Linked DNA regions of Anolis sagrei. The protein of the gene in region 2 binds, or shares a complex with, the protein of the main gene of each other region. Links are inferred from orthologs where the notes say so. Each region holds a gene or a part of one and is shown on either strand. Other genes may lie near its edges. The genes, in order: FGFR4, FGF23, FGFR3 and FGFR1.

Region 1 (7,708 bases), on a different chromosome or scaffold from region 2:
GTCCTCCAGATGTGTTGGATTACAATGGGACGGTCCGTATTGTAATCCAACCATCTGGTGGACACCAGGCTATGGAAAACTGGTCATCTTCTTTCTCCCAACAACAGAGACATCCCCACACTCTCACCCGGTTCTGTGGTTCCTCCCATGGGAGCAGCTGCTGGCCAAGCACATGTGGTTGCCACCACTGCCAGAAACTTCAGAAGGCCACACAGTATGGTTCTCATCCTGTCGTTTCTTCTTGACTCCAGTAGAAATGTAAAGCCCTGGATCAAAGAGAGGAGAAAGTCATACTCAGCCCTCTGGATTTTTTCCACTCAACACACAATGAACCACATATCCTAAGTTCATACCCATCTAGAACTGCCAATAATAATGGCTTGCATGGATGCAGGAATAGCAAAGGAGAAACATGTTTATATAGACATTGACTCCTGTAGCCAGCCATGATTGGCTGCTAGACATTCTCTTTGGAAGGAAAGGGCCGCCAGCAGGGATTTCAAATAAGGGACCGATTTGCTAACCATTCCCACAAGAAAATAAGTTCAAAGAAATGCTAATTTATTTCTTGGGGAGCACATGGTTTGCCATCCTTGCAATTTTACCACTCTTCCTTTGAGAACTGGCTACACTTCATTCAAAGTTCTAGACCAATAGTTCTCAAACTATGGTCCTCCAGATGTTTGGAAAGAACTGCCTGCATTGGCCTCACCAACTAGGACTTTCAGGAGTTCAACTTCAAAACATGCAGAGCAGCACTGCTTCTTAAACTGTGGGTTCCAGCCACAAATGGGGTTCCCTTAGCTCAGTTGGCAACAGAAAAGGTTTCAGACATTTACATGAATCTGTTAGCAACCATGAGCAGCGTTTACAGTGGGCTCTGCAGAAAATGCTTCAGCTGTACTTCATAAAAAGGAAAACCAGCCTGTTTAGCAAGTCTTGCCAATACTGATGTGTTGTCAGGAAATGTTTGATTTTTACATCTATTTTTTACACATATATACTTGGGGTTATGTAAAGGATCTAGACAAGGCATGGACAAACTTTGGCCCTCCAGGTGTTTTGGACTTCAACGCCCACAATTCCTGGCCTCAGGCTCTTTCCTTTTTCCCCTCAGCTGCATAAGCAGCTGATGGGGAAAGGAAGGGGCCTGAGGCCAGGAACTGTGTGAGATGAAATCCAAAACACCCGCTTAAATGGCTGAGGGGGAAAAGGAAGAGGCCTGAGGCCAGGAATTGTGGGAGTTGAAGTCCAAAACATCTGCTTAAGTAGCAGAAGGAGGAAAGGAAGGGGTCTAAGGCCAGTGATTGTGGGAGGTCCAAACACCCGCTTAAGCGGCTGAGAGGGAAAAGGAAGGAGCCTGATGCCAGGAATTGTGAGAGTTAAGTCCAAAACACCCGGAGGGCCGAAGTTTGCCAATACCTGATCTAGAGGACTACATTTTGAGGACCAAATGTAAGTGGTGCTCTCTGGACTAGGACCAATTCCCGGGGCATGAGCTGTCAGTTCCTGGCAAATGACCAGGAAACAAAGGAACAATGCCAGCCAATGGCCCCTATTATGGTGATGGGTCCCTGGTCCAATGGAGGGAAGTAATAGCTCGGTCCCCTGTATCAAATAGACTGAGAAGTGCAGCTGGACCAGGGGGCCCTTCGCAATGGGCATCAGGATGTTGGTCCCTGCCTCTCTGCTTCCCAAGAGGGCAGGAAGATTCTGCCACCTTTTCCCCTTTCTGCCCAAATCTCAGAGGGACATCTTTGGTTGTGAGCCTGGGTGGCTGCTCCAGGGCAGCACAAGACAAACAACAAGAGGGGAGAGCCTGGGGAACCTTAGGACCGGTAAACGAGGAGGGAAAACGGGAGGAAGACGGTGGCTTCATGGGAAGATGCTGCGAGCAGGGCAGTCCCTTCAAGGCGGCGCACCGGGGAGAGTCAGGACGAGGAGCTCTCCCATCACAGGGATCATCCTCCCTGGGATCCGGGTCACCTTCCCGGGAGGATTCGGATTTTTTTTCCGTGTCAGGAGCGACTTGAGAAACTGCAAGTCGCTTCTGGTGTGAGAGAATTGTCCGTCTGCAAGGACGTTGCCCAGGGGAAGCCAGGATGTGTTGATGTTTCCCCATCCTTGTGGGAGGCATCTCTCATGTCCCACTACGGGGTGCTGGAGCTGACAGAGGAAGCTCACCCGCGCTCTCCCCGGATTCGAACTTCCGACCTGTCGGTCTTCAGTCCTGCCGGCAGAAGGGTTTAACCCACTGCACCACCGGGGGCTCCTTTCGGATGCCGCTTGGAAGGAAACGGGGGAAAGTCTTGCGCCTGGAGCGAGGCGCGCGTTTCAAGGGCGAAACGAAGTAAGTTCCCAGCCAGGCGGAGCGGAGGAGATGCGAGAGAGTGAGTGAGAGGACCAGGGGAAGGAAGAAAGAGCTCCCCGGTCTCCCAGGTGGTTTAATCTTTAATCCCGCGATCTCAAAGGGGGCGGGGGGGGGGAGCAAAAGACCTCTGGTAACAGATTGACAGACCTTCCCGGTCAAAGTCCGCCCAGGGAAGAGGGCTCTCGGCCCCGCCACGCCCCGGGGAGCCTCCTGGGTCGCCAAAGGTACTCTCCATCCACACCGCCCGAGAAGGCAGTCCCAAACTATAAGCCAAGGGACGAGGCAACCCGAGTGAGTCCAAGGGCCACCAAGCTTTAACCGCCCGCCCCCCTCCCCTCCGCTGCACCAAACCCGGCCCGAAGGCGCCCTCCTCACCTCCTCCTCCGCCTTCGGCTGCTGCTGGTGCTGCGGCTTCGGGGTCCCGCTAACTCCTGGAAGCTGGGGCTGCGGAGAGGCGCTCCATCCTCAGCTGGCCGGCCAAGGGAGCGAGGCGCCTCCCGCGCGGAAAGGGAGATCGATCCGGAGGAAGAGGAGGAGAGGTTTTTTCCCCCACCTCTTTCTTTCCCTGCCCTGGGAGGCGGAGAGAGCCCCGAACGCGCGCCCCGAGGGTCCCGGCTCCCTTCCCTTGCGCCCTTCTGCCGAAGTCGGCAAAGGCGTGGGGACTTTGTAGCCCCAGGGCTCGGGTGACACCCCCCTCCCTCTCTCTCTCCCTCTCTCGCCTTCCTGCCTTCCCCTTCCCCGCGCGCGGACCCCAGCCAACAATGGGCCGCCAAAAGAGCCAGCGAGGGAGGGGGCGGGGCCCGAGGGACTCCCCTCCCCGCCCCGCCCCCAGGGCCCCTCCCTCCCTCCTTCCCTCCCTGCGCGGCAGCCCCTCCCCTCCTCCACCCCCCCCCCCCCTCCAGCGCCTTTTCACACTCACATTAGCTAAATTCTCTCCCCCAAAGCTCCGGCAAAAGGGATTAGGCCGAGTTCATTCCCTGCTGCCCTCGCTGGGCTTCCTCTCCCGCTCGCCCTGGAAACCGGAGAGACCAAACCAGGAGCTCTTCCTGGGGAAAGGCCACAGGGTTTCTCAACCTTCCCAATGCCGCGACCCCTTAATACATACAGTTCTTCATATTGTGCTGACCCACAGCCATAACATTGTTTTTGTTGCTGTAATTTTGCTACTGTTATGAATCGTAATACTAATACCCGATATGGAGGATGTGTTTTAATTCACTGGGCGAAATTTGGCACAAATACCCAATAAACCCAAATTTGAATACTGGTGGGGTTGGGGGAGTTGATTTTGTCATTTGGGAGTTGTTGTTGCTGGGATTTATAGTTCACCCAAAATCAAAGAGCATTCTGAACTCCACCAGTGAAAGAATTGGGCCAAACTTCCCACACAGAACCCCCATAAACAACAGAAAATACTGGAAGGGTTTGGTGGACATTGACCTTGAGTTTTGGAGTTGTAGTTCACCTACATCCAGACAGCACTGTGGATTCAAATAATGATGGACCTGGACCAAACTTGGCACGAATACTCAATATGCCCAAATGTGAACACTGGTTGAGTTTGGGGGAAACAGACCTTGACATTTGGGAGTTGTAGTTGCTGGAATTTATAGTTCACCTACAGTCAAAAAGAATTCTAAACACCACCAACAAAAGAACTGGGCCATACTTCCCACACAGATACTGTGTTTTCTGATGGTCTTTGGTGACCCCTCTGACACCCCCCTTGCAACCCCCGCAGGGGTCCCAACCCCCAGGTTGAGAAATGCTATTTTAAAGAAATGAGATCATTTATTGTTTTATTTCATTTAATACCCCGCCTTTCTTCCCTTCAGGGAATTCAAGGTGGTTTACAACTGCGGTACCATTCAATAACGGTAAAATCTAACAGTAAAAACAATAACACACCCCCGCCATTAAAACACTTAATAATTAGTTAATAAACACATTCAAACATATAAAGTGCCTAGTTCCAGTCATCCAAAATCCTTGTTCATAGTCCATATTCAAACCGTGTCAAAGCCCATAGTCATTTATATGTGCAAAGCCATGTCTTTAACTTTTTTCTAAAAACTAGAAGGGATGAGGCCTGCCTGATGTCACTGGGGAGGGAGTTCCACCACTGAGAAGGCTCTGTCATCCCCACCAATCACACCTGTGAAGAGGGTGGGACCAAGAGCAGAGCCTCCCCAGCCAATCTTAAAGTTCTAGTAGCCTCATACAAGGAGACATTTAGACAGGTAAATTGGACCAGAACCATTTAGGGCTTTATAGGCCAAGACCAGCACTTTAAATTGAGCTCAGTAGCGAATCGGCAGCCAGTGGAGCTGATTAAACAGGACAGTAGTATGCCCCCTGTATGCCGCTCTGGTTAGAAATCTGGCTGCCACCCATTGGACTAATTGAAGCTTTCGGGCCTTCTTCAAAGGCAACCCCACGTAGAACGTGTTGCAGTAGTCTATGCTAAGTGAAAGGATAGGCAAAAGAAAGTGGAAAGAGTGTGGGGTAGAGAGGGTGATTTGTTGCAAAGGGCCTTTTTTGCCTGAAGATGAAAAGGCAGATTGTGCCCCCTTGGAACTCCCTGCTGTGTATGTTCAGATGACTGGTTCCCAACCTTTTTTAATTATTATCAGGTACCACTTGACCAGGGACCACTTTAACCAGGGACCACTCAAACATTAGTACCAAAAGGGTTACAAATCAGTTTTTGGTCAATTTTAAATTTGGTTTACTTATTTGGGGTGCTGATTCAGAAAATTGCATTGGATAGGCCACATCAGCTCTAGTTTCTGATGCAGAACATAGGCCATCCATTAATCGCCATTTGTTCGCCCACAGAAAACCATATTTAATAAGCCTCATCACTATAAGAGCATTTCATGAGACCAGCCACTCTCGTTGCAACGGGGTAGTAATGGTGAGGACCATATTTTAGTTCTCCCGGACCACTGGTGGTCCACAAACCACAGGTTGGGAACCACTGGTTTAGATAAACTTCATTTGGGCTACTATGTGCCTTGAAGTGGTACATCTACTGCAGAATTAATGCAGGCAGACATCGCTGTCACAAAGGACTACCACCCAGGCCCGTAGCCAGGATTTCAATTGGGGGGGGGGCTGAGTTTGTTTCGGGGGGGGGGCTGTGTCTGAGTGAAAGAGGGTCTACCCTAGCAAACCTTTTGTATCGTTACCCCAATACCCCCATGCATATGGGATATATTGAGCATGGTGATCAGATCATGATATGAATAAACATAACAGTTTAAATATTGCACCAGTAAGGCCTTTTTGCGAACCACCATGAGAATTTCGGGGGGGGGGGGGTTGGGGTTGAAGCCCCTCAAGCCCCCCCCCCCCCCCCCCCCCGCTACATGCCTGCTACCACCCCACTCGCCTCATAGGAAATCTACAAAACAGGAGCTTTTTTGTTGAATTCCACGGCCAGAGAAGCAGATGGTGAAAACAGAAGAACAGCATCGTAACTATCAGTGTTCAGGATGACTTCAACATGCCAGTCCCCTTGAAAGCAATTTTCTAATCTGGATTTCAGAACATCATCCCAGCTGTGAGATAGATGTAAGGCATGGATATGTGTCACATGCATTTACACACACATTCCCTCCACTGGGAAATTGGGAAACCAATATGCCTTTGAACATTGCATTCAGCGGAGCCCAGATAACTGCCTTACTTAGCTTAATGAGAAGACTTGTCACAGATGACTTGTCTCAAATGTATGCCAAAAATCATTATGGGAACGTGAAGTTAGAAGCAGCTGCAGGAGTTGGGAGGCAAATAGTTAATCTGTATTCTGACAGCTGCAGATGGACACAGCTAACTGATTCTTTCTGCAAGACCCTCTGTAAACCCAGCTAGAAATTTCAGGCTGCACAAAATTATGGTTGGGATGTTATGATGGTGGGGGAGAAGTACCCAGATGTTGGTTTCATGCAAAGAACAGAGCTTTAAAAATAATGTTTGGGAACAGGAAAAATAGTGTTTCAGAGCATGTACAGAATGCTTCTTAATTACTCCCAGCCATCATAATGATATACCGGCTTTCCCACAACCTGTCACTTTCCAGAGGTGCTTATGAAGTAGATCCACTGGAGATGATAGCAGACAAATCTAATACATTTGTCTGAGGACATGGGTTTGCCAGATTGCAGAAAGGCTGATAGGCACAACTGAGGGTCCATTTACACCAGTGGTTCCCAACCTTATTTTTTGACCAGGGGCCACTCTCCAACATTAGTACCAAAAGGGTTATGAATCAGTTTTTGGTCAACTTTAGATTTGGTTTGATTATCTGGGGTGCTGATTTAGAAAACTGTATTGGATAGACCACATCAGCTCTAATTTCTGATACAGAACAAATGCCATCCAGTAGTCTCCATCTGTTTGCCCACAGAAAACAATATTTGATAATCTGAATCAGCACCACAAATAACCCCAGGAACAGGCCTAAAAACAAAGACATCAGGGCATCCCCTCTTCCAGACACCACATGGAATGGCTCGGCTCAGGGGAAGGAAGGAAGGAAGGAAGGAGGAGGAGAAGCAGAAGTCAGGAGGCTTGTTGTTGCTTTCATGGGTAGTCAGCCTCTCCCCTCCCGATACAGCCGTGTAGTAACAGTGAGTTCCATGGACCACTGATCTACACTGTAGAATTAACATTGTTTTTCTTTACTTTAATTGCTGTAGCTCAATGCTATGGAATCTTGGGATTTGTAATTTGGTCAGGCATCGGCAACTTTTGAGAAAGAAGGCCCTTGTAAAACCTCTATTCCCATAGCACTGAGCCTTGGCAAATAAAGTGGTGTCAAACAGCATTAATTCTACAGCATAGATGCAGCCTCTGGCTGACTATTAGAAGAGAAGGTGTGGTTTTCAGGTTGCATTGACCTCTGTCCCCCTTTCTTAAACTAGTGTTAGGAAATGACCCTCCAATCTGCAGCTCCATGCATAGCAAAGAAAGACCTGCCTGCTTTTCTGCCCTTCACAAATCCATACAGCAGTCAACCAATGTCTCTATTTCAAGAGTCTTTAATTTTAAAATGTAGTCCAGCTCCCCCAATCTGGAAGACACCAGTATGGGGGAGCCTATTTTAAGACAGTCACAAGCATCTTTGTTGTTTTTGCTGCCACAAATTAACACAAGCCATCCCTCTCCGGAAACACTTTGTGTCCTCAAGTTCTACGAAAAGGAAAACGGCCCAGCCCCAGCGTAATAAAAACAGGGAGTTCAAATGCCTTTCGGGGGGGGGGGGGGGAGTGTGAAGATGGCAACCTCTCCACCTCCTTTTGAAAAAGGCGAAGAGGCCTTCCCCGAGGCTCA
Region 2 (7,952 bases):
CTTGCAAAAGTCCTTGTCAGGTCAGTGCTGCTTGTCCAACTTTGCTGAGCTGTGTTTGCTTATATTGCAAAGCTAAAGTAAATTTACTTAAAGGTTTTACTGTCCAATTGTGACTCTGGATGTTGCCTTTAAAGGTGATTTGTAGTTTGATTAAGCACCACTACCTTTTGACAGAGAAGGCTAATAAAGACCTTGTCAAACTACAACTCTTACATTGAGCCATGGCAGTTAAAAGTGGTATCAAACTACACTCATTAAACAGTAGGTGCAGCACTAGTTCATTTCAGGTCCAGTTTACTTGTTCAATTTCCAGTGAACTTCAGAGTTTCAGTCACACCTTCCTTCTCTATCAGACCTGAATCTTTCAAAAAACTTCCAGTATCTCTTCTTCTGTACACAGCACAAGCCATTTCCTTATTTTACTACGGACTTGCCAGTGATGACAAGTTGGTTGAAAAGTGCAAGCCTTGGGCTGCTGCATAATGTAATACAATACAGGGTTAGTCAAAATGAATAGGCCAATAAGAAAATTAATTTTAGACGAATGTATGTTTATTGTAACCAAACTACAGCTACGTATCGACAGATAAATTATCAAAGTTTTGTCTCACCTTCAGAGATGTTCGATATGGGCGTCCCGTGTGACACGGCAGACGTCCAAGCGATAGTCCAGTTCATTCCACATCCGTTGCAGCACATCCGACGTAATGGCATCGAATGCAGCACCTTCTCTTTGCCTGATTCCGCCATTTTGAAAACAGCGACTCCTAGCGACGCCTAGCGGCATTAACGTACATGTGTGTTGCTAAAAAAAAACTTTGATAGTTTATCTGTCGCTACGTAGCTGTGGTTTGGTTACAGTAAACATACATTCGGCTACAATTAATTTTCTTATTGGCCTATTCATTTTGACTAACCCTGTATAATACTACTAATAAATATGATATTATAATGATATATTTTATATTATATGTAATATTACTAATAATATTACACTATAGTGTTATAGTACAATATAGTAATATATAATATTAATATTGTGCTATGGTAATAATATAATATATTGTATTTACATATTACTTGTAAGCCGCTCTGAGTCCCCTTCGGGGTGAGAAGGGCGACATATAAATGTCGTAAATAAATACATAAATAAATGATGTTTTTTTGTCTAAAAACCTTTAATGAGTTGCCTTTTGCTAGCAATGTCATGGGGAGTAAGTATGGAGCACATCACACTTACCTTTTTTAAGCATTCCAGGATGTTAAAGGGACAGTACAGCAACAGATAGGCACACTGGCCATCACATGATGTTCCTCGACTTCCTGTTGAAGTGCCGTAAGATGCTTTCCTCTTAACATTGGAAAGCTCCTATGATATGCTGGCTCCAGTGGAGCCAGCACATTTCAGCACCACTTCGTTGCCGCTTCCCCCGTCGCCACTGCCCCACATCCCTGCCGTTTTGTCCCAGAGGCTGGCTAAATGGCATGGGAGATGGATGGATGTGGGTTCATCTGTGTGATGAGGTTGTATGAAGCAATGAGGCCAGTGAGGGTGGCTTAGAAAATATACTTTGAGATTTATATGTAAATATAAATATTACTTTTGTGTTATTGTTTAAATTTATATATTTTACCCTTAGTACTTACTTAGATGATCCCTCGTAATCTGAGGATGATGATCCTCCAAATGATGTATCTTGGTGGTGGCTGTGGAGCCCTATTCTTGACCCTCATGTTCTCCTGCAGTGAGGGCATTGGTTTCCAAGTGGAAGGCGGTCCCGGTCGGGGTTGGCTTGATATGCCTTCCTCTTGGCATGTTTCTCTTGCCCTCCATTCATGCTTCTTCAAATTCTACAGCACTGCTGGTTACAGCTGACCTCCAGCTAGAGCGCTCAAAGGCCACGGCTTCTCAGTTCTCAGTATCTATGCCACAGTTTTTAAGGTTGGTGTTGAGTGATAGTGATAGGTAGGGAGCCCACCGCCAAAGATCCTCACTTGTGGGGGCTGCTTCAAGATCTAGGGGCCATGATCCTCCAAGGTACGGCTATCACATGCTCTGTTGGAATCAGCACCAGTACATTTCTGGAAACCCTTAGCCAAGCCTCTTTTTTTGCTAATAATGTCTCTGAGTTTAAGTGGTTCTTGTTGATTTAATACTTTCAATTTAGTAAAGTTTTATTTAACTATTAGAATAATAAAATTACAGGTCACTGAGTTGGAAGGGGCTTCATCAGCCATTATGGACCTGATCTCACGAGATCTTTTTTGCATCCTAGGACGCTTTTGCCTCAGTTGAGCAATGGAGCCCCACACCACCTATCACATGATGTAGCTCCCTTCCACCAGGGCTCTGTTGCTTAACTGGGGTAGCAACATGGTAGGACATTGCACCTTCAACACATGATCCTCCTTGTGTTTCATTTGGAACAATGGAGCTACTGCAGGGACAAACCATGTGATGATGCTTCCTCACGTATGAAGGGGAAGTGTCACTCATGGTTGGGTGAGGCGCAGGGTGCCGGGATTGCCCCACTGCCCAGCCAATTCGCCATGGAGGTTGGTGAATCAGCACGGGGAACCTCATCAATGTGATGAAGTCCTAAGTCCAATCCACAACAGTGCAGAATCTCTAGCTAGAGCATCCCCAGCAGGTAGCTGTCCAACTTTGTTTTGAACGTGTCCAGAGAACACTTTGTGCAGTTGATCCCATTGCTAACCTGCTCTCTCCAAGAAGTTCCTTCTAAGATTCAATTGAAACATACTCTCTTGGAACTTAAAATTATCAGACCTGGCTTTATCCTCTGGGACAGCAGAGGACATGCCACCCCTCCTCTTCTTGCCAGCCCAGCCCTTAATGTATTTAAAAAGGGCACTCCTAAGTCTTTATAACAGAAGAACAAGCAAGAAGATATTCTGTTTATCAGTTCAAACTACAGCTTAAGTATTTGCAATTACACTTTTAACTTTCTATTTAGCCTTTGCACCATTTTGACAGTGGAATATGTTCCTGCCTTGGAGTATGCTGGGGTCTCCTTCTCAGGAGGTTTAAAACAGAGGCTAGATGGCCATCTCTCAGGAGGACTGGATTGTGTATTTCTGTATGGTAGAAGGGGTTTGGAATTCATTACTCTTGGGGGTCTCTTCCAATTGTAATGGCATGTAAACAACCACAGTTTTAATCTAAGAGATATGGGGGAAAGAGCCCAGTGTTCTATGTAACAATAATAAAATTAAAAAACTTTATTTATATACCGCTCTATCTCCCCGGGGGGACTAAGAGCGGTTTCCAAGTAAAATCATCAAAACATATAAAGTAAACAACATAACCATAAGATTAACAAAACAATATAAGCATATATTTTTTTTGCCACAACACACATATATTAAAAGTAATCCTGCCAGTTCAAGACAATTTAAAAGACCGGGCCGAGATTAGTGCAAGCTCAAAAATTCTAGAGGGCCCGGGAATTAAGTGCAGTGCTATAGTAGGGTATATGGCCAATTCATTTCTGGGACCTATTAGAGTAAGTGGCCTGGGTAATTGGTAGGAATAATAAGGCCATATTCAACAATGTCTATGGTTGAGCTAGAACTAGTCATTCTCAAAGGTTTGTTGAAACCACCAGGTCTTCAAGCTCTTATGAAAGGAGGGGAGGGATGTAGCCTGTCTAATTTCCCTGGGGAGGGTGTTTCAGAGGCGGGGGGCCACCAATGAGAAGGTCCTCTCGCTCGTCCCCACCAACCTTACCTGTGACAGTGGTGGGAGCAAAAGGAGGGCCTCCCTGGAAGATCTTAGAGTTCGTGCTGGTTCATAGAAGGAGATGAGATTGCGGAGATAGGCGGGGCCCGAACCGTTTAGAGCTTTATAGGTCATGACCTGCACCTTGAATTTGTCTCGGCAACTTATAGGCAGCCAATGAAGCTGTTTTAATAGGGGCATTGTATGCTCCCTATAGTTTGCTCCAGTTAGGAGCCTGGCTGCTGCCCGTTGTAACAGTTGAAACTTCCGGGCCGTCTTCAAGGGTAGCCCCAAGTAGAGCGCATTTCAATAGTCCAATCTGGATGTAACCAAGGCGTGGACCACCCTGGCCAAGTCAGACTTCACAAGGCATGGTTGCAGCTGGCACACAAGTTTGAGTTGTGCAAAGGCCCTCCCAGCCACTTCCGACACCTGAGCATCAAGCGACAGCATTGTAGCATTGTAGTAGCCGAGTTTTTAAAAGTCAAGTTCCTTTAAGAATAAAGAACCCCCATATCCACGGAACAAATACATGCAGTTTCACTTATCCATGGCTTCACGTCTTCACTGCTAAAGGCCTCTTGTATACCCCTTCTTCCTGGTCTCTCCACTGTTCATCCCATTGAATTAACAGGGTTTACTTGTGTATGTGGTTTCTTGTATCTCTGTGAAGTCAGGAAACATATTCCCTGTGGATATGGGGATTGTACTTTTTTTGCTTCCTAGCTTTGCCTTGATCATTTGTGTAGGACGTGTGCCTTAGTGCCATCCCAGAGTCAACATTGCCTCACCGGATACTCGGACCTTACGTTTAACAACCCAGGTATACAGAAACAGCTGTAGAGAAAGGGGGAGAATGGAGATGCCATTGCATCACAAATGAATGGGTTGGTCCTAATCCAGACAGTGGGAAGCATTCTGATGTCAGAGGTTTTTTTCAGATAACATTTCAACATGTCATTAGTGCCCAAAAGTTTACTTTGGAAACCACAGAAACCTCTCTGAGAAACCCATGTGCAGATGTTTTTTCCCCTTTTTCCTGAGTTGTTGAGGTCTAAGGACACTCCCAACATGTTGCCCAGAAAGAGCCTCACCCCCACAAGCCGCTCAACAACTATAAAACTGTTGCAAGGCTGTTGGGACCCTGTCTGAGGCATCACACTCCAGCAGAAAGGAAGGCAGAAGGTGGGTGGCTGTGGACAGGGAAAAGGATCAAGTTGCAGGTCAGAGAGGAATACCATGGCTACTCTGTGCAGCTTCCTCAAATATATGCTGTTTGCAACATGTAGCTGGAAAGCAATTGCTGCTTTCCCCAATGCATCGCCTTTGCTCAGCCGCAACTGGGGAAATTCAGACAGCCTGCTGCACTTGTACACCTCCACAGCAAGAAATAGCTTCCACCTGCAAATCCACTCCAATGGCTACGTGGATGGAAGTCCGTATCAAACCATTTACAGTAAGTACCATAGAAGTAGTCTGAGAAATAATGTGAAGAAGAACCAGAAATGCTGGATATGGTGGCTGGGGGATTCTAGAAATTGTATCCTAAACTTAAGTTTACTATATTCCTCATAGTAAAGGTATAAAAACTATATTGAATCTCTCACTTAGCACTAAATCGGTGTTTCACAACCTGGGGGTCGGGACCCCTGGAGGGGTCGTGAGTGGGTGTCAGAGGGTGGGTGTCACCAAATATAATCAGAAAGCACGGTATTTTCTGTTGGTCATGAGGCTTCTGTGTGGGAAGTTTGGCACAATTCTCTTGTTGGTGGGGTTCAGAATGCTCTTTGATTGTAGGTGAACTATAAATCCCAGCAACTACAACTCCAAATAGAATCATAGAATCATAGAGGTTAGCAATGGGATCAACTGCACAAAGTGTTCTCTGGACACGTTCAAAACAAAGTTGGACAGTTACCTGCTGGGGATGCTCTAACTAGAGATCCTGCACTGTTGGGGATTGGACTTAGGAAGAGATCTCATGGGTCATCCAGTCCAGCCCCCTGCCAAGAAGCAGGAAAATTGCATTCAAAGCACGCCCGACAGATGGCCATCCAGCCTCTGTTTAAAAGCTTCCAAAGAAGGAGCTTCTATCACACTCCGGGGCAGAGAGTTCCGCTGCTGAACAGCTCTCACAGTCAGGAAGTTCTTCCTCATGTTCAGATGGAATCTCCTTTCTTGCAGTTTGACACGGTCTATTTCCCCAAACTTCATTTGGGCATATTGAGTATTCATGCCAAGTTTAGTTCAGATCCATGTTGTTTGAGTCCACAGTGCTTTCTGGATTAAGGGACAACATGGGAAGTTAGATACATGTAGCTTGGAGAAGAGAAAATGGAGAGGTGATGGCGCTGTAGCTTGCATTCCTGCCTGGCAGAAGAGGGCAGGAGTAGATGTTCCTTTTGGGAAGGTAATTACTAGAGAATAGAGAAAGCACACATAGGGAGAGAAGCATATTTTGTGGAAAGTGAGTCAAAGTAAGAAACAGAGAGTTAGCAGTTGGGTAGAACAAAGCACCTGTGATACCTATCATTAACAATGTGGAGCAATATCATGATTAAGACACACAATTTAATTTTTGGAGACTTCAGAAAACCGTGAGGGTAATTTTAATTTACTGTTATAAACCAGTACACTAAAATTACAAAATTACAAAAAGAAAAAAATCGTGATTAAATGTTAGGAAGAAATTTTATTGGCAAGAGTGGAATATACTGTCATGAGCACTGTAGACTCTTCTCTGAGTTTCAAAGACAATTTTAAATGTATTTATTATATTTCAATCTGTTTTTATCTTAATCTACACTGTACTATTTAATTGTTTTTTAACTTTTGTATTGGAATTTTTATACAATGAGTAAAGTGTGGGATTGTTAAACACCTTGAGTCCCCACAGGGAGAAAGATGGGGTATTTAAAAAGTTAATAATAAAAATAATATGAATAATTATCTGGAGGTCTTTAGACAGAGGATTCCTATCTTACAGACCTATTTGTTATAATTTGAAACAACTTTTTTATTATTGCAGACAGTCATTATTTTGTAACATGATTGAAATCTGATAGGACTGCCAGGGAAACAAACATATTTTGTGGTTGGTTCTGGCCAGTCAACCGCCACCATCTGCAACTGAAGTTATTAAAATAATTTTCTAATATTCAGTAACTTAATTTTCAGGTGCCTTGATGATCAAATCCGAAGTTGCTGGTTATGTTATAATAAATGGTGTGAAAAGTGGACGTTTCCTTTGTATGGATATGAATGGGAACATCTTTGGATCGGTAAGTCTGCTTATACATATATATATATATATATTGTCGTGTCAGGAGCGACCTGAGAAACTGCAAGTTGCTTCTGGTGTGAGAGAATTGGCCATCTGCAAGGACGTTGCCCAGGGGACGCCCGGATGATTTAATGTTTTATCATTCTTGTGGGAGGCTTCTCTCATGTCCCCGCATGAAGAGCTGGAGCTGATAGAGGGAGCTCATCCGCCTCTCCCCGGATTCGAACCTGCGACCTGTTGATCTTCAGTCCTGCTGGAACAGGGCTTTAACCCACTGTGCCACCGGGGGCTCCACATATAAAATTATTTAGCAAAATTACATCATACAACAGGGCTTGCACCAGAAGCTTGGAGTAAATAACTCTGTTGTGCTTCCCAAGAAGCGGTTGTCTCTTTCACTTCTTTATTAAAACACCTCCTCTTCTTCTGAGACAAATAAAATTAATGTTGGATGTCCCCTACCTCTTTCTGCATGTTCATCACCATCAGCATTGCTAGCAGAGAAAATGGAGGGAAATGCTGAGCAACTAAAATATACATAAGAACATAGAGAAAATGACCAAGACCACATTCAAATGCTTAAACCTGTTGGTAAACCTTCATTGTTTGAGTAGATGTCCAATTGACACCCCTCTTTCAAAAAATGTTAGGTCTTTTGACAGATCCTTCCTCCATCCTAATGATCTAAATTATCCTAAGTTAGATAGCTCCAGGTAAAATATCTAGGGATAGTTATTGATGATAAAACATGAGACATCCCTTAGAAAAATACCATGTCAGTGTCATTCAAAGTTCGAGAGCACAATCTCATATCCCTGGCATTTGGTTCCCATATGCATGTGTTATATCAGTGATTCCCAACCTTTTTTTTGAACAGGGACCACTATCCAACATTAGTACCAAAAGCGTTACGAAAGATTTTGGTCAACT
Region 3 (7,064 bases), on a different chromosome or scaffold from region 2:
TTTCAAATCAGGAACAGGAAATGTTTCCAAACTCCAGCATGATTCCATCAGTTGCAAAAGTAATCTATGTTTCTCCCAACTTGAAACTGGGGCATGCTCAGGAGGAGCAGATAACTACTAGACTAGCCAGCCAAACAGGAGCAGTTCCTTCGTGCTACCTTGTCTGTAACACAGTACATTTGACAGACTGAATGCAAGGGCTGTTGATGGCAAAGGGACAGGAAGGTAAAAGGATAGCTAGAGATCCCAGCAAGAAACAGCACATGGCTCATAGCGGAGGGTGGAAATAGCTCTTCTGTTCCACAAACTTTCTTACCTGATGGCTCTCTGGTAAACCTGTTTTCAGGGTCCGAAGCGGATGGTCGGGCTGAGGGGAGGCTGCTGACGGTTGCCACCAGGAAAAAGCAAAGCAGTGCTCCCCACACTGCAGGCATTCCTTGCCCAGAGGAGCCACCCTGGGCAGTGATTGTGGTGCTGCTGTGGTGGCCAGCCTCAGCCATCCTCCAGATGCATGCTGCCCCTTCGGCTGGATTGGAGGGCCTCCTTTTGGGCCCCACAAGGTCTGGCTACACCCTGCAAGAAGACACAACAGGCAGACATCTGAGTGCTTCCAGTCGGTTGCAAATCAAGCTTGCTAACTGCACCCTTGACATTGGTTAACAGAGAATGGTTTTCTTCTCCTGCGCTGGACATTCCACAGGTATATATACTCCACTTCAGACCCGCTGAAGATGCCAGCCACAGATGCAGGCGAAACACCAGGAGAAAATGCTGTTAGAATACGGCCGGACAGCCCGGAAACCACACAACACCCCAGTGATTCCAGCTGTGAAAGTTTCGACAACACATTAACTGGGTTGCTGTGAGTTTTCCAGGCTATATGGCCATGTTCCAGAAGCGGTCTGAAACACGGCTACACAGCCTGAAAAACTCACAGCAACCCAGTGATTCCTGCCATGAAAGCCTTCGACAACGCAATACACTAAGTAGTTTTGGTTTTTAACCTAAGGTCTGGAAGCTTCCACGTGCCACAGGTCTCCCCTTGATAAGGTTTAAGATGAGGGATGTTTGAAGGGGACATTCTCCGCTCTCATTGCCACATGTGAAAACTATGCAGTTTCTGACATTTCTTCTATGGGATTGACTCTTACTTTGACCTCCAGCGATGGGCCAGGTATCCCTATACTGCCTTATGAAATCCAGATTATCTGTTCTGAACTGGATTACTTATTTTATTTTATTAATAAACTTTTATTTGAGAAAAAAATACAGTTATATAGACATGTACTATACATTCCCTCTCTTTTATTTACATTCACCCCCGGGTTGACACCGCCATACAATCCAGTTCAAATCAGATAATCTGGATTGTATACATTTTTATGCCAATGCTTTTCATGTCAAGCCGCTTTGAATCCCCTTTGGGGAGATAAAGCAGGGTATAAATAAATAAATATAATAATATATTTCAAAGGCTTTCATGGTCAGAATCACTGGGTTGTTGTGAGTTTTCCAGGCTGTATGGCCATGTTCCAGAAGCATTCTCTCCTGATGTTTTGCCTGCATCTAGGGCAAACATTCTCAGAGGTTGTGAGATCTCACAACTTCTAGGGATGCCTTGCCTTAGATGCAGGCTAAATGTCAGGGGAGAATGCTTCCAGACCATAGCCATATAATCTGGAAAACTCACAACTCACAATTATTATTATTATTATTAACTTTATTTATACCCTGCAAAATCTCCAGAAGGACTCGATGCGGCTTACAATGGCCAAGGCCTGTGGGGATGCCTGCCAACCTCTGGGGATGCCTGCCATAGTTGCAGGCAAAATGTCAGGGAGAATGCTTCTGGAACATAGCCATAGAGTCTGGAAAACTCACAACTCACAACCTCTGGGGATGCCTGCCATAGATGTAGGCGAAACATCAGGAGAGAATGCTTCTGGAACATGGCCAGACAATCTGGAAAACTCACAACAACTTACAACCTCTGAAGATGCCTGCCATAGATGCAGGCGAAATGTCAGGAGAGAATGCTTCCGGAACATAGCCATACAGTCTGGAAAACTCACAACAACTCACAACCTCTGAGGATGCCTGCCATAGATGCAGGCGAAATGTCAGGAGAGAATGCTTCCAGAACATAGCCACACAGTCTGGAAAACTCACAACAACTCACAACCGCTGGGGTTGCCTGCCATAGATGCAGGAGAAATGTCAGGAGAGAATGCTTCTGGAACATAGCCATACAGTCTGGAAAACTCACAACCTCTGAAGATGCCTGCCATAGATGCAGGCGAATTGTCAGGAGAGAATGCTTCTGGAACATGGCCAGACAGTCTGGAAGATTCACAACAACTTACAACCTCTGAAGATGCCTGCCATAGATGCAGGAGAAATGTCAGGAGAGAATGCTTCTGGAACATAGCCATACAGTCTGGAAAACTCACAACTCACAACCTCTAGGGATGCCTGCCATAGATGTAGGCGAAACATCAGGAGAGAATGCTTCTGGGACATGGCCAGACAGCCTGGTAAACTCACAACAACTCAAATATAATAATAATAATAATAATAATAATAATCAGATGGCAGTGTAGAGGGGGCCTCAGGTTGGATCCGCATAGCTCTATAACGCTGTTTCAGAATGCAGACTGAACTGGATCCACACGGCCCTGGAATCTGCAAGCCGTGTGGATTCAGCCCCAGCGAAGCCGCAAAGAGCGGAGGCGCTGAGTCAGAAAAAGCGGTCGAGAGGGACGCCAAGCTGTCCGCCTGCAAAACGAACGAGTGTCAATTGAAACCCACGCCTACCCAGCCTTAAGGCACCAGGTCCCCCCTCAACACGGGTGGGACACCGTCCGCGAGCGCCAGGAGGTTGAGGAGACTTGTCAGAGGAAGGACTCTGAGGGCTCCTCGTCAGAGAACATTCAGGTGAGTTGTTTCCCCCGCCTTTTTACCCCTCCCAGTCTGCCTGAATTCCCCCGTCCATCCCGCGGTGCCTACCTGGGGAGAGGGAGAGAGCGGGCGCGAGAGCGAGGCTGCTGCCTTCTGCCACCGCAGCTGGAGCCCTTCTGCGCCCAGCCCTGCGCGGACCGCCTCGCGCGGAGGAAAGGGGCGGAGCCGAGGACTCCCCGCAGCCAATGGGGAGTCGCCTTTCCCTCCTTCCCTCCCGCGCGCGAGGCAGGGGCACAGCGCGCGCTCACCCCTCTCCCTTCCCCGGGGAGACTACCTGGGAATGCGCACCAGGAGCCGGTGCAGGGAATGTCGATATGTTCTCCAGGTAAGAGCAATGACTCTGTTCCAGGTAAGCATTCCTCTTCATAGCCCCACAGCTGCAGGACGGACTGGACTCTGCTGTGTCCCAGGAAGAGCAGTCACTTGAGACTTCCATTGACTGAAATGTATGTATATATTTATTTATTTACTTAGTTCAAGGTTCCTCAAACTAAGGCCCGGGGGCCAGATACAGCCCTCCAAGGTCATTTACCAGGCCCACACTCGGGGGCAACGTAAGTCCGAAACGACTTGAAAGCACACAACAACAACAACAATCCTATCTCATCAGGCAAAAGCAGGCCCACACTTCCCATTGAAATACTAATAAGTTTATGTTTGTTAAAATTGTTCTTCATTTTAATTATTGTATTGTTTTTAAGTGTTTTTGCACTACAAATAATATGTGCAGTGTGCATAGGAATTCATTCATGTTTTTTAAAAAATTATAATCCTGCCCTCCAACCGTTTGAGGCACTGTGACCTGGCCCTCTGTTTAAAAAGTTTGAGGACCCCTGACTTAGTTAAAGGTAGTAAAGGTTTTCCCTTGACATAAAGTCCAGTGGTGCCCAACTCTGAGGGTTGCTGCTCATCTCCATTTCTAAGCCGAAGAGCTGGCATTGTCCGTAGACTCCTCTAAGGTCATGTGGTCAGCATGACTGAATGGAGTGCCCATACCTTCCCACCGGAGCGGTACCTATTGATCTATTCACATTTGCATGTTTTCAAACTTCTAGGTTGGCAGAAGCTGGGCCTAACAGCAGGAGCTCACTCCCCAGATTCGAACCTGCAACATTAAGGCTAGTAAGTTCAGCAGCTCAGCGGTTTAACCCACTGTGCCACCAGGAACTCCTTTTTTATTTACCTTATTTATATCTCACCTTTCTACCTTGAGGGGGACTTAAGGTGGCTCACAACATACAATCTATATAAATAAAAATGTAATGTTTTTTGCGGGATTAACAGTTTTTTGTGGGATTAACAGTGGTTCAAAAACCACTGGATGAATTGAAACCAAATTTGGACACAATATACCTATTAGGCCAATGAGTGACCATCACTCATAAAAACACTGAAAAACACAGCGAAAGAGACTTAAAAAGCCCCAAAACAAAACAAAAAACATTAAAACGCATGCTCAAAACCACATATATACACAAACACACATACACACACACATATATATACACGCACATATATATACACAGACTGGGCCACAGCAACGTGTGGCAGGGGATGGCTAGTATCCAACTACAAACATGGTTTAAAATAAAAAATAAAATAAAATCCATTTCAATGAATCACGTCATCTAGAGTCAGAGTCCAAGGCCATTCCGTAGTCACACTGCACATATTGAAAGGGGATGTTGATACCATACCAAGTTTTATATGAACTACTAACATATGTCATCATCATAGGCAATAACTTGAGGCCAAGTATGGGCCCTTCCACACAGCCATATAACCCTGAATATCAAGGCAGATAATAATAGTAATAATACTAATAATATTTTATTATAGCCTACCACCATCTCCCATACAACATATAAAATGCAATATATCAACATTAAAACCAAAACACATTTAAAAGCAGACATATAAAATTAACAAGAGCAATAGAATCGATAAAATATGGCAATAGTTGTTAATTAAAAATCCATACAGTCAATCTAGCCTTCCCTGGCTAAAGATAGTTGTCTGGCTGCTATCTTAAAGATTTCTTTATTATTTATTTACGACATTTATAGCCCACGTTTCTCAAGCATATGGCGACTCAAGGCAGGTTACAGATTGGCACGATTCAATGGCATGCATTCATAAAAGTGCGATTAAAAACAATCAACATAACAATATAAAACATATATAAAAACCATATCATCTTGTTGAAAACATTATCAAAGGCCTACAGAAAGGACCAAGTTTTTAGCTCTTTCTAAAATCCACAATATCTGCTTTGAACTGGATTGTCTGAGTCCACGCTGCCATATAATCTAGTTCAATGTGGATTTTATACAGCTGTGTGGAAGGGGCCTGTGATTGTCTTGGCCCTGGGTCCATATGTGACTGTAGAGATCTATTGTGGATCCATATAGTCTTTCGCAATGAGGACATAGATTTCCAGATGGAAGGCGGTCCTGACAAGGGTTAGCTTGAGGCGCTTTCCTCTTGACACTTTCTCCCTTTCACCCTCCATTCATACCTCAAAATCCACAGCATTGTTGGTAGCAGCTGACCTCCAGTTACAATATTTATTCCACATTTTTAAAGGTTTGATTTAAATCTCTTGCTGTCCACTACATATAAATATGTGAAATGGTGTCATAAGGAAGAGGGAGCAGACTTGTCTTCTGCTGCCCTTGAAACTAGGACTCGGAGCAATGGGTTCAAATACAGGAGAGGAGATTCCACCTGAACATTAGGAAGAACTTTCTGACTGTACAGGCTGTTCAGCAGTGGAATTCTCTGACTCAAAGTGCAGTGGAAGCTTTTAAACAGAAGCTGAATGGTCATCTGTCAGGGATACTTTGATTATGCTTTTCCTGCATAGCAGGGGGTTGGACTAGGTGACCCATGTGGTCTCTTCCAACTCTATGATTCTATGACATTCCATTTTCCATTCTTTAGCTGAGTATACTTGTCTGCCCACTGACTTTCCCCCTTCTCCAGCTCTGAGAAGGCTTACCAACACTCTAGCAAGGGTGGGCAGGCTCTCTTTGTGGCTTTTTTCTTTCCTTCCTCCCTCCCATCCCCTTGTCACCCCGTGACATCACAGAGGGCCACTTCACCTAGCAATCACCTTTTCTGGTTCAAAGAGTCATGCGAACATGCTTTAACTTTTATATATAGAGAGTTGTGAATTGAAACAATGGTGATTAACTTGTTGCGAGTTGAACTGATCAATTACATATTTTCCCAGCATAGTCTTCTCATTCCATGTTTTTGCAGTAATCAGAAGTGCAGATAAGAAGCATGTCTCGTTTCTTCTTTTCTCAAATGACTATACTCGTAACTTTAGTCAGAAAGACTGATTACTGCTTCCTAATCACCAAATGAGGTTCCTGTTACTAATGGTTCAAAAAAGGGTGTGAAACGTGTAGTTTCCCCGTCATTCCTCATCCTGCTGCCTCTGCTGATAAAAGACTTCTGGAATTCCCAATTCAGCACCATCTGGAGGGCTGCATAATTCTCCCCTCTGGGTTAAACAAGATATTACATCAAGTTGGTTGTTCATTATTGAATAAATTAAGTTTGGTGGATACTGACATGCAGGTATTACGAGCTACTTGTTGACATGCCTGGTTAAGCATGAATAGTAGCTCAGCTGTCATCTGAACGGATGGAAGCTCATTTAGAAAATAACAAATTACTTTGCTATGCTACTTAAGAAGGCTATCAAGGCAGAAAAATCACTTATGGAGGAGAACAAGAAGGCAGAATGACTGAATGATGCTCCTGAAAGTGGTGGATTCTCCATCTTTGGAAGTCTTTAAATGGAGATTGACAGGTCATTTTTCAGGATTGCTTTGTGGTCTCTTTTAACTCTGAAGATTCCATGTTTCTGGCTGCATAGGACCTTCTGGGGTTCACACCTGGAGACTTCTTGTGTTCTGGGCCTAACCTGGAGGAGGACCCTGTCCCTGAGCTGAGGTGTGCAATCTTAGCTCTGCTTTCAAGAAGGCTGGCTCCCATCCTTTGCATCCAAGTTTAAGTCGTTGCATTGCTGAAGTTCCAAATCTATACCTAGCTGTCTACATGTGGCATTTCAAAGATGGCTAGGCTTTGATTAT
Region 4 (7,367 bases), on a different chromosome or scaffold from region 2:
GGATTGGACACAATATTCCAGATGTATGCCAGTTGGAAGCCGCCCTGAGTCCCCCTTCGGGGGTTGAGAAGGGCGGGGTAGAAATACCCGAAATAAATAAATAAATAAAATATTGTATCCCATGCAGTTGTGGACAAGGCTACATAGGGACCCCCAAACGCAGCAGCTGCGTCCAAATACGAATCCAGGAACACGAAAGGCACTGCAGACTACTCCAACCAGAGAAGTCAGCCATAGCAGAGCACCTGATGAACCAGCCTGGACACAGCATATTATTGGAGAACACAGAAATGCTGGACCACTCTCACAACCACCATGTCAGACGACACAGAGAAGCCATTGAAATCCACAAGAAGCAGGTGGACAATTTCAATAGAAAGGAGGAAATCATGAAAATGAACACAATCTGGCTACCAGTATTAAAAAACTCTAAAATTATAACAGTAAATAAAGACAGGGGAGCTCCAGACAAGAAACAATCAGGGACAGCTAATCACCTCTCAACAAAGGATGTCCCCAGGCAGTAAGAAGCAACACCTTTCATCACAAAACCTCTAAACTGATATCTATCATTCCAAAGACTGCATTTATCTCTATCACAGGCCCCTTCTATGCTGCCGTGTAATCCAAAGTAAACCATCCACATTATCTGTTTTGAACTGGATTATATTAGTCTACACTGCCATATAATCCAGTTCAAGAAGATAATCTGGGTTTTATATGACAGTGTAGAAAGGGCCAACAGTTGTATATAAACAGAGCACCAAAGAGACACAGGTCCAATCTGCACGGCCACATAATCCAGTTCCTGAATTGGGATTAGCTACTTAGAAGTGGATTTTATGGGGCTGGAGCTACACTGCCATATAGAATGTAGACTGTCTGCTTTGAACTGGATTATATCACAGTGTAGATCCATCCCCATATAATTCAGTTCAAACCAAATAATGTGCATTATCTGCTTTGATAATCTGGATTATATGCCAGTGTAGATCCAGCCCCATATAATGCAGTTCAAACCAAGCAATGTGCATTATCTGCTTTGATAATCTGGATTATATGGCAGTGTAAACCCAGCTCCATATAATTCAGTTCAAAGCAGATAATGTGGATTATCTGCTTGAATAATCTGGATTATATGGCAGTGTAGATCCAGCCCCATATAATTCAGTTCAAACCAAATAATGTGAATTATCTGCTTTGATAATCTGGATTATATGGCAGTATAGATCCAGCCCCATATAATTCAGTTCAAACCAAATAATGTGCATTATCTGCTTTGATAATCTGGATTATATGGCAGTGTAAACCCAGCTCCATATAATTCAGTTCAAAGCAGATAATGTGGATTATCTGCTTGAATAATCTGGATTATACGGCAGTGTAGATCCAGCCCCATATAATTCAGTTCAAAGCAGATAATGTGGATCATCTGACTTGATAATCTGGATTATATGGCAGTGTAGATCCAGCCCCATATAATTCAGTTCAAACCAAATAATGTGCATTATCTGCTTTGATAATCTGGATTATATGCCATTGTAGATCCAGCCCCATATAATTCAGTTCAAACCAAATAATGTGCATTATCTGCTTTGATAATCTGGATTATACAGCAGTGTAGATCCAGCCCCATATAATTCAGCTCAAACCAAGCAATGTGCATTATCTGCTTTGATAATCTGGATTATATGGCAATGTGGATCCAGCTCCACATAATTCAGTGCAAAGCAGATAGCGGCTGTTAGGAATTGTGGGAGTTGAAGTCCAAAACACCTGGAGGACCCAAGTTTGCCCATGCCTGGTCTACACTGTCACATAATCCAGTTCAAATTAGATAAACTGGATTGTATGTGTGGATGGGGCCTGGATTATACTGCAATGTAGACTCATATAGAATCCTGGGGGTTGGGAGAGACTTCCTGGGCCATTATCCAGTCCACCCCCGTTCTGCCAAGAAGCAGGAATATTGCATTCAAACCACCCCTGACAGATGGCCACCCAGCCTCTGCTTAAAAGCCTCCAAAGAAGGAGCCTCCACCACACTCCCTCCGGGGCAGAGAGTTCCACTGCTGAACATAGAATCCAAAAGTTGGAAGAGACCTCATGGGCCATCCAGTCCACCCCCATTCTGCCAAGAAGCAGGAATATTGCATTCAAATCACCCGACAGATGGCCATCCAGCCTCTGTTTAAAAGCTTCCAAAGAAGGAGCCTCCACCACACTCCCTCCGGGGCAGAGAGTTCCACTGCTGAACATAGAATCCAAAAGTTGGAAGAGACCTCATGGGCCATCCAGTCCAACCCCATTCTGCCAAGAAGCAGGAATATTGCATTCAAATCACCCGACAGATGGCCATCCAGCCTCTGTTTAAAAGCTTCCAAAGAAGGAGCCTCCACCACACTCCCTCCGGGGCAGAGAGTTCCACTGCTGAACATAGAATCCAAAAGTTGGAAGAGACCTCATGGGCCATCCAGTCCACCCCCATTCTGCCAAGAAGCAGGAATATTGCATTCAAATCACCCCTGACAGATGGCCATCCAGCCTCTGTTTCAAAGCTTCCAAAGAAGGAGCCCCCACCACACTCCGGGGCAGAGAGTTCCACTGCTGAACAGCTCTCACAGTCAGGAAGTTCTTCCTCATGTTCAGGTGGAATCTCCAGTTCAAAACAGATTCAGAAACTGGATTATATGGCAATGTAGACCTAGCCATATTTGCACTTGAGCATCCCTTGAGAGCTGCAAAAAATGTGTTCTTGTGACCGTACACGCAGCCTGAAATCACTCCAATTCATCAACGGCTTGGAAACCAAACGGCACCCCAATACTTCTGTTCCTACCTTGCTCTGGCAGGGTTTGCGCTGGCCTTGCAGTGGTCAGTGTGGCTGTGACCAGCACAGCCCAAAGGAGGAGGCACTTCCACGTCAACATCCCAGATCTGTGGCTACAGGTTGGAAACGCTGCTCCCGGACTCCATGAGGACTTGGACCTTGGGCCTCGATGGGCAAACGGGAGATGGACTTCTTCTCGCTTGGATCTGCTCAGCTCTTTGCTCTCCAGGGCAGAGGCATCCAAACACTGGGGACAAAGAGAGAAAAGCAGAATGAAGGGTCAGGAAGCCAAAAGTTCTTATTCTTCCCAAGCTCCATTCTCCCCAATATGTTTACATTGTCAACCATCTATATCAGTGGTTCTCAACCTTCCTAATGCCACGACTCCTCAATATGCTTCCTCGTGTAATGGTGACCACCAACCATAACATTAGTTCCATTTTGCCACTGTTATGAATAGTAATGTAAACCTCTGATATGCAGGATGTATTTTCATACACTGGACCAAATTTGGCACAAAGACCCAATACACCCAAATCTGAATACTGGTGGGATTGGGGGAGGGTACTGATATTGTCCTGTGGGAGTTGTAGTTGCTGGGATTTATAGTTCACCTACAATCAAAGAGCATTCTGAACTCCACCAATGATGGAATTGAACCCAACTTGGCACACAGAACTCCCACAAGCAACATAAAATACTGGTGAGCATTGACCTTGAGTTTTGGAGTTGTAGTTCGCCTACATCCAGAGAGCACTGTGGACTCAAACAATGATAAATCTGGACCAAACTTAGCATGAATTCTCAATATGCCCAAATGGAAACACCAGTGGGGTTTGGGAAAAATAGACCTTGACATTTGGGAGTTGTAGTTTGTGGGATTTATAGTTCACCTACAATCAAAGAGCATTCTGAACTCCACCAATGATGGAATTGAATCAAATTTGGCACACAGAACTCCCATGATCAAGAGAAAATACTAGAAGGGTTTGGTGGCATTGACCTTGAGTTTTGGGAGTTGTAGTTCGCCTACATCCAGAGAGCACTGTGGACTCAACCAATGATGGATCTGGACCAAACTTGGCACAAATACTCAATATGCCCAAATGTGGACACTGATGGAGTTTGGGGAAAATAGACTTGACATTTGGGAGTTATAATTCCTGGGATTTATAGTTCACCTACAATCAAAGAGATTTCTGAACTCCATCAAGGATAGAATTGAGCCAAACTTCCGACACAGAACCCTCATCATCAACAGAAAATACTGTGTTTTCTGCTGGTCTTTGGTGATGTTTTTGACACCCCCTCACGACCCACCTCAGGGGTCCCAACCCCCATGTTAAGAAACACGGTCTTAAATACTACAAAGGAGAAAGGAATTCATTCTAATTTGCTTTCCACCCCCAGAAAATGTAATTCCAGAGGCAGGAAGTGCATTTTTTTCAGGAGGTGGAAGCAATCCAGTATGAATCACAGATGCAACATTAAAACATAATTTAGCAATCCAGGCACGAGGATCAGTCACTCTTAGGTTTGGGTAACCCCCTTTCCCTTCTTTTTCCAATACAGAGGTAAAAAGGGGAGGCATCTGCAGCGTGGAATTCATTCAGTTTGACACCACTTTAGCTGCCATGACTCAGTGCTATGGACCGTTCCCTGACCTACAAGAAGCACTGCCTGAACATCAAACAAAAAGTGGGTGCTAGAAACAATATCATACGAAAGCTGACTGGCACAACCTGGGGATCACAACCAGACACAGTGAAGGCATCTGCCCTTGCGCTTGGCTACTCTGCTGCTGAGTATGCATGTCTAGTGTGGAACACATCTCACCACGCTAAAACAGTGGATGTGGCTCTTCATGAGACATGCCGCATTATCACGGAGTGCCTGCGCCCTACACCACTGGAGAAATGACACAGGCACCACCTGACATCCTCCGTGAAGTAGCAGCCAATAGTGAAAGGACCAAGGCAGAGACATCTCCAGCTCACCCCCTGTTTGGGTATCAGCCAGCACGTCAACGACTTAAATCTAGAAATAGTTTTCTTAGATCTACAGAGACACTCGCTGGAACACCCCAGCAAGTGAGAGTCCAAAAGTGGCAGGCTCAAACCCAGCACGTCAACCAATGGCTGATACCAAATGAGAGACTCCGCCCTGGGCCCACAGAGGACTGGGCGACTTGGAAGGCGCTGAACAGACTGCGCTCTGACACCACGAGATGCAGAGCCAACCTCAAGAAATGGGGCCACAAAGTGGAGTCCACGACATGCGAGTGTGGAGAGGAGCAAACTACAGACCACCTGCTGCAATGCAACCTGAGCCCTGCCACATGCACAATGGAGGACCTTCTTGCGGCAACACCAGAGGCACTCCAAGGGGCCAGATATTGCTCAAAGGACATTTAATCAGCTACCAAGCTTGCAAACTTTGTGTTGTTTTTTTATCTGTTTGTTTGTTTTGTTCTGTTAGAAATGTAATACAATGTTCTGGTTGCGGATGACACGAATAATAAATAAATAGTGCTATGGATTCCCAGGAGTTGTAGTTTTACAAACTTTAGCCTTCTCCGCCATAGGGAGCTGGTGCTATACCAAACTACAATTCCCAGAATGCCATAACATTAAGCCATGACAGTTAAAGCAATGTCAAACTGCACTAATTTGACAATGTGGATGCTTCTTGTTACATTCAAATATACAGTATTATGATTCTTTTGTGTTTCAAGGAACCTCGAAACCTGTTTGGAAATTAAGGCTGTTGGATTAAGAAATGTTAACCTGTTGCAATCAGTTGTTTGTATTGCTCATTGCTATGCCTTTTTTTTTCTTAGTGGTAACAGAATGTCAAGGTATGAGGGTTGACTGAAAAGTAATGCCTCCACCTTCATTACTTGGGTTTGGATGGAAATATTTTAATAAATCAAACGCAGAAATAATCCTTAGAATGTGCTCTTTAACTACCACTATTCACTTTTCCACATAATCACAAGACAATTGGATACATTTCTGCCAACGATGAACAAGTTTTCTGAAGCCGTCACGGAAGAAGTCGACACTCTGTTTCCGCAACCAGCATCTCACAGTTCTTTCATCCTGGGTATCCATCGTGCACAGATCTTCCGCAATAATGTGGCCCACACGTTCTTGTGAAATGCCGATTGTGCTTGAAATTTCTCTCCGAGTGATACGACAATTGTCCTGAATCAATCTGTCAACCTTTTGCTTGTGAAACTTGGTGGTTGCTGTCACAGGATGTCCAACTCTTTGTTTGTCACGCAAGTCAGAACGAAAAACCTTCATTACTTGGGTTTGGATGGGAATATTTTAATAAATGAAACACAGAAATAATCCTTATAATGCTTTTTAACTACCAGTTTTCACTTTTCTACACAATCACCAGATAATTGGATACATTTCTGCCAACAATAAACAAGTTTTCTGAAGCCGTCACAGAAGAAGCCGACACTCTGTTTCCGCAACCAGCGTCTCACAGTTCTCTCATCCTGGGTACCCATTGTGCATAGATCTTCCGATAGCCAAGGAAAGCAATAATGTGACCCACACGTTCTTGTGAAATGCCGATTATGCTTGAAATTTCTCTCTGAGTGATACGATGATTGTCCTGAACCAATCTGTCAACCTTTTGCTTGTGAAACTTGGTGGTTGCTGTCACAGTACGTCCAACTTTTTGTTTGTCATGCAAGTCAGAACAAAAAACCTCCATTACTTGGGTTTGGGTGGGAATATTTTAATAAATGAAACACAGAAATAATCCTTAGAATGTGCTCTTTAACTACCACTATTCACTTTCCCATATAATCACCAGACAATTGGATACAGTTCTGCCAACAATGAAGAAGTTTTCTGAAGCCGTCACGGAAGAAGTCAACACTCTTGTTTCTGCAACCAGCATCTCACAGTTCTCTCATCCTGGGTACCCATCGTGCATAGATCTTCCGATAGCCAAGCAAAGCAATAATGTGACCCACACGTTCTTGTGAAATGCTGATTATGCTTGAAATTTCTCTCTGAGTGATACAACGATCATCCTGAATCAATCTGTCAACCTTTTGCTTGTGAAACTGGGTGGTTGCTGTCAGGGGACGTCCAACTCTTTGTTTGTCACACAAATCAGAACAAAAAACCTTCATTACTTGGGTTTGGATGGGAATATTTTAATAAACGAAACACAGAAAGAATCCTTATAATGTGCTCTTCAACTACCACTATTCAGTTTTCTACATAATTTCCAGACAATTGGATACATTTCTGCCAAAGATGAACAAGTTTTCTGAAGCCGTCACAGAAGAAGTCGACACGCTGTTTCCACAACTAGCATCCCACGGTTCTCCCATCCTGGGTACCAATCATGCACAGATCTTCCGATACCAAGCAAAGCAATAATGTGACCCACACGTTCTTGTGAAATGCCGATTGTGCTTGAAATTTCTCTCTGAGTGATATGACGATCGTCCTGAATCAATCTGTCACCCTTTTGTTTGTGAAACTCAGTGGTTGCTGTCACAGGA

The links.
Region 1: the proteins of FGF23 (region 2) and FGFR4 are in contact, whole or in part, in a cryo-EM structure (PDB 7YSW), measured with the Homo sapiens proteins. The link is inferred for Anolis sagrei from reciprocal best matches to the Homo sapiens genes FGF23 and FGFR4. Residues at the interface, in NP_065689.1 of Homo sapiens: Leu32, Gly33, Ser35, Trp36, Gly37, Tyr43, Ala45, Thr46, Ala47, Arg48, Asn49, Ser50, Ile75, Arg76, Ser77, Glu78, Asp79, Ala80, Gly81, Val83, Val84, Tyr93, His117, Gln118, Thr119, Asn122, Gly123, Tyr124, Asp125, Leu158; in NP_001341913.1 of Homo sapiens: Glu156, Lys157, Lys158, Leu159, His160, Ala161, Val162, Pro163, Asn166, Asp240, Leu242, Glu243, Arg244, Ser245, Pro246, Lys272, Val273, Tyr274, Ser275, Asp276, Ala277, Gln278, Pro279, His280, Ala308, Asp309, Ile310, Ser312, Gly336, Asn337.
Region 3: the proteins of FGF23 (region 2) and FGFR3 are in contact, whole or in part, in a cryo-EM structure (PDB 7YSU), measured with the Homo sapiens proteins. The link is inferred for Anolis sagrei from reciprocal best matches to the Homo sapiens genes FGF23 and FGFR3. Residues at the interface, in NP_065689.1 of Homo sapiens: Ser29, Leu32, Gly33, Ser34, Trp36, Tyr43, Ala45, Ala47, Arg48, Asn49, Ser50, His52, Ile75, Arg76, Ser77, Glu78, Asp79, Ala80, Gly81, Val83, Val84, His117, Gln118, Thr119, Asn122, Gly123, Tyr124, Asp125, Leu158, Ser159; in NP_000133.1 of Homo sapiens: Glu157, Arg158, Asp160, Lys161, Leu163, Leu164, Ala165, Val166, Pro167, Arg223, Asp244, Leu246, Glu247, Arg248, Ser249, Pro250, Val277, Tyr278, Ser279, Asp280, Ala281, Gln282, Pro283, His284, Ala312, Gly313, Ala314, Thr316, Thr317, Asp318.
Region 4: the proteins of FGF23 (region 2) and FGFR1 are in contact, whole or in part, in a cryo-EM structure (PDB 7YSH), measured with the Homo sapiens proteins. The link is inferred for Anolis sagrei from reciprocal best matches to the Homo sapiens genes FGF23 and FGFR1. Residues at the interface, in NP_065689.1 of Homo sapiens: Leu31, Leu32, Gly33, Ser34, Trp36, Gly37, Tyr43, Ala45, Thr46, Ala47, Arg48, Asn49, Ser50, His52, His66, Ile75, Arg76, Ser77, Glu78, Asp79, Ala80, Gly81, Val83, Val84, Tyr93, Phe108, His117, Gln118, Thr119, Asn122; in NP_075598.2 of Homo sapiens: Glu159, Lys160, Glu162, Lys163, Lys164, Leu165, His166, Ala167, Val168, Pro169, Lys172, Gln244, Asp246, Val248, Glu249, Arg250, Ser251, Pro252, Val279, Tyr280, Ser281, Asp282, Pro283, Gln284, Pro285, His286, Ile287, Ala314, Gly315, Val316.

The regions. Positions count from the first base shown.
Region 1 is NC_090022.1:77,267,167-77,274,874, forward strand, and holds the start of FGFR4 (fibroblast growth factor receptor 4), read right to left. Parts: upstream 3,132-7,708; 5' UTR 2,747-3,131; intron 267-2,746; 5' UTR 228-266; coding exon 128-227; intron 1-127. UniProt on the Homo sapiens protein: Tyrosine-protein kinase that acts as a cell-surface receptor for fibroblast growth factors and plays a role in the regulation of cell proliferation, differentiation and migration, and in regulation of lipid metabolism, bile acid biosynthesis, glucose uptake, vitamin D metabolism and phosphate homeostasis.
Region 2 is NC_090025.1:104,196,418-104,204,369, reverse strand, and holds the start of FGF23 (fibroblast growth factor 23), read left to right. Parts: upstream 1-4,818; 5' UTR 4,819-4,978; coding exon 4,979-5,195; intron 5,196-6,916; coding exon 6,917-7,020; intron 7,021-7,952. UniProt on the Homo sapiens protein: Regulator of phosphate homeostasis. Inhibits renal tubular phosphate transport by reducing SLC34A1 levels. Up-regulates EGR1 expression in the presence of KL. Acts directly on the parathyroid to decrease PTH secretion. Regulator of vitamin-D metabolism.
Region 3 is NC_090023.1:142,751,650-142,758,713, forward strand, and holds the start of FGFR3 (fibroblast growth factor receptor 3), read right to left. Parts: upstream 3,079-7,064; 5' UTR 3,007-3,078; intron 574-3,006; 5' UTR 501-573; coding exon 317-500; intron 1-316.
Region 4 is NC_090027.1:2,236,424-2,243,790, forward strand, and holds the start of FGFR1 (fibroblast growth factor receptor 1), read right to left. Parts: upstream 3,027-7,367; 5' UTR 2,931-3,026; coding exon 2,840-2,930; intron 1-2,839. UniProt on the Homo sapiens protein: Tyrosine-protein kinase that acts as a cell-surface receptor for fibroblast growth factors and plays an essential role in the regulation of embryonic development, cell proliferation, differentiation and migration.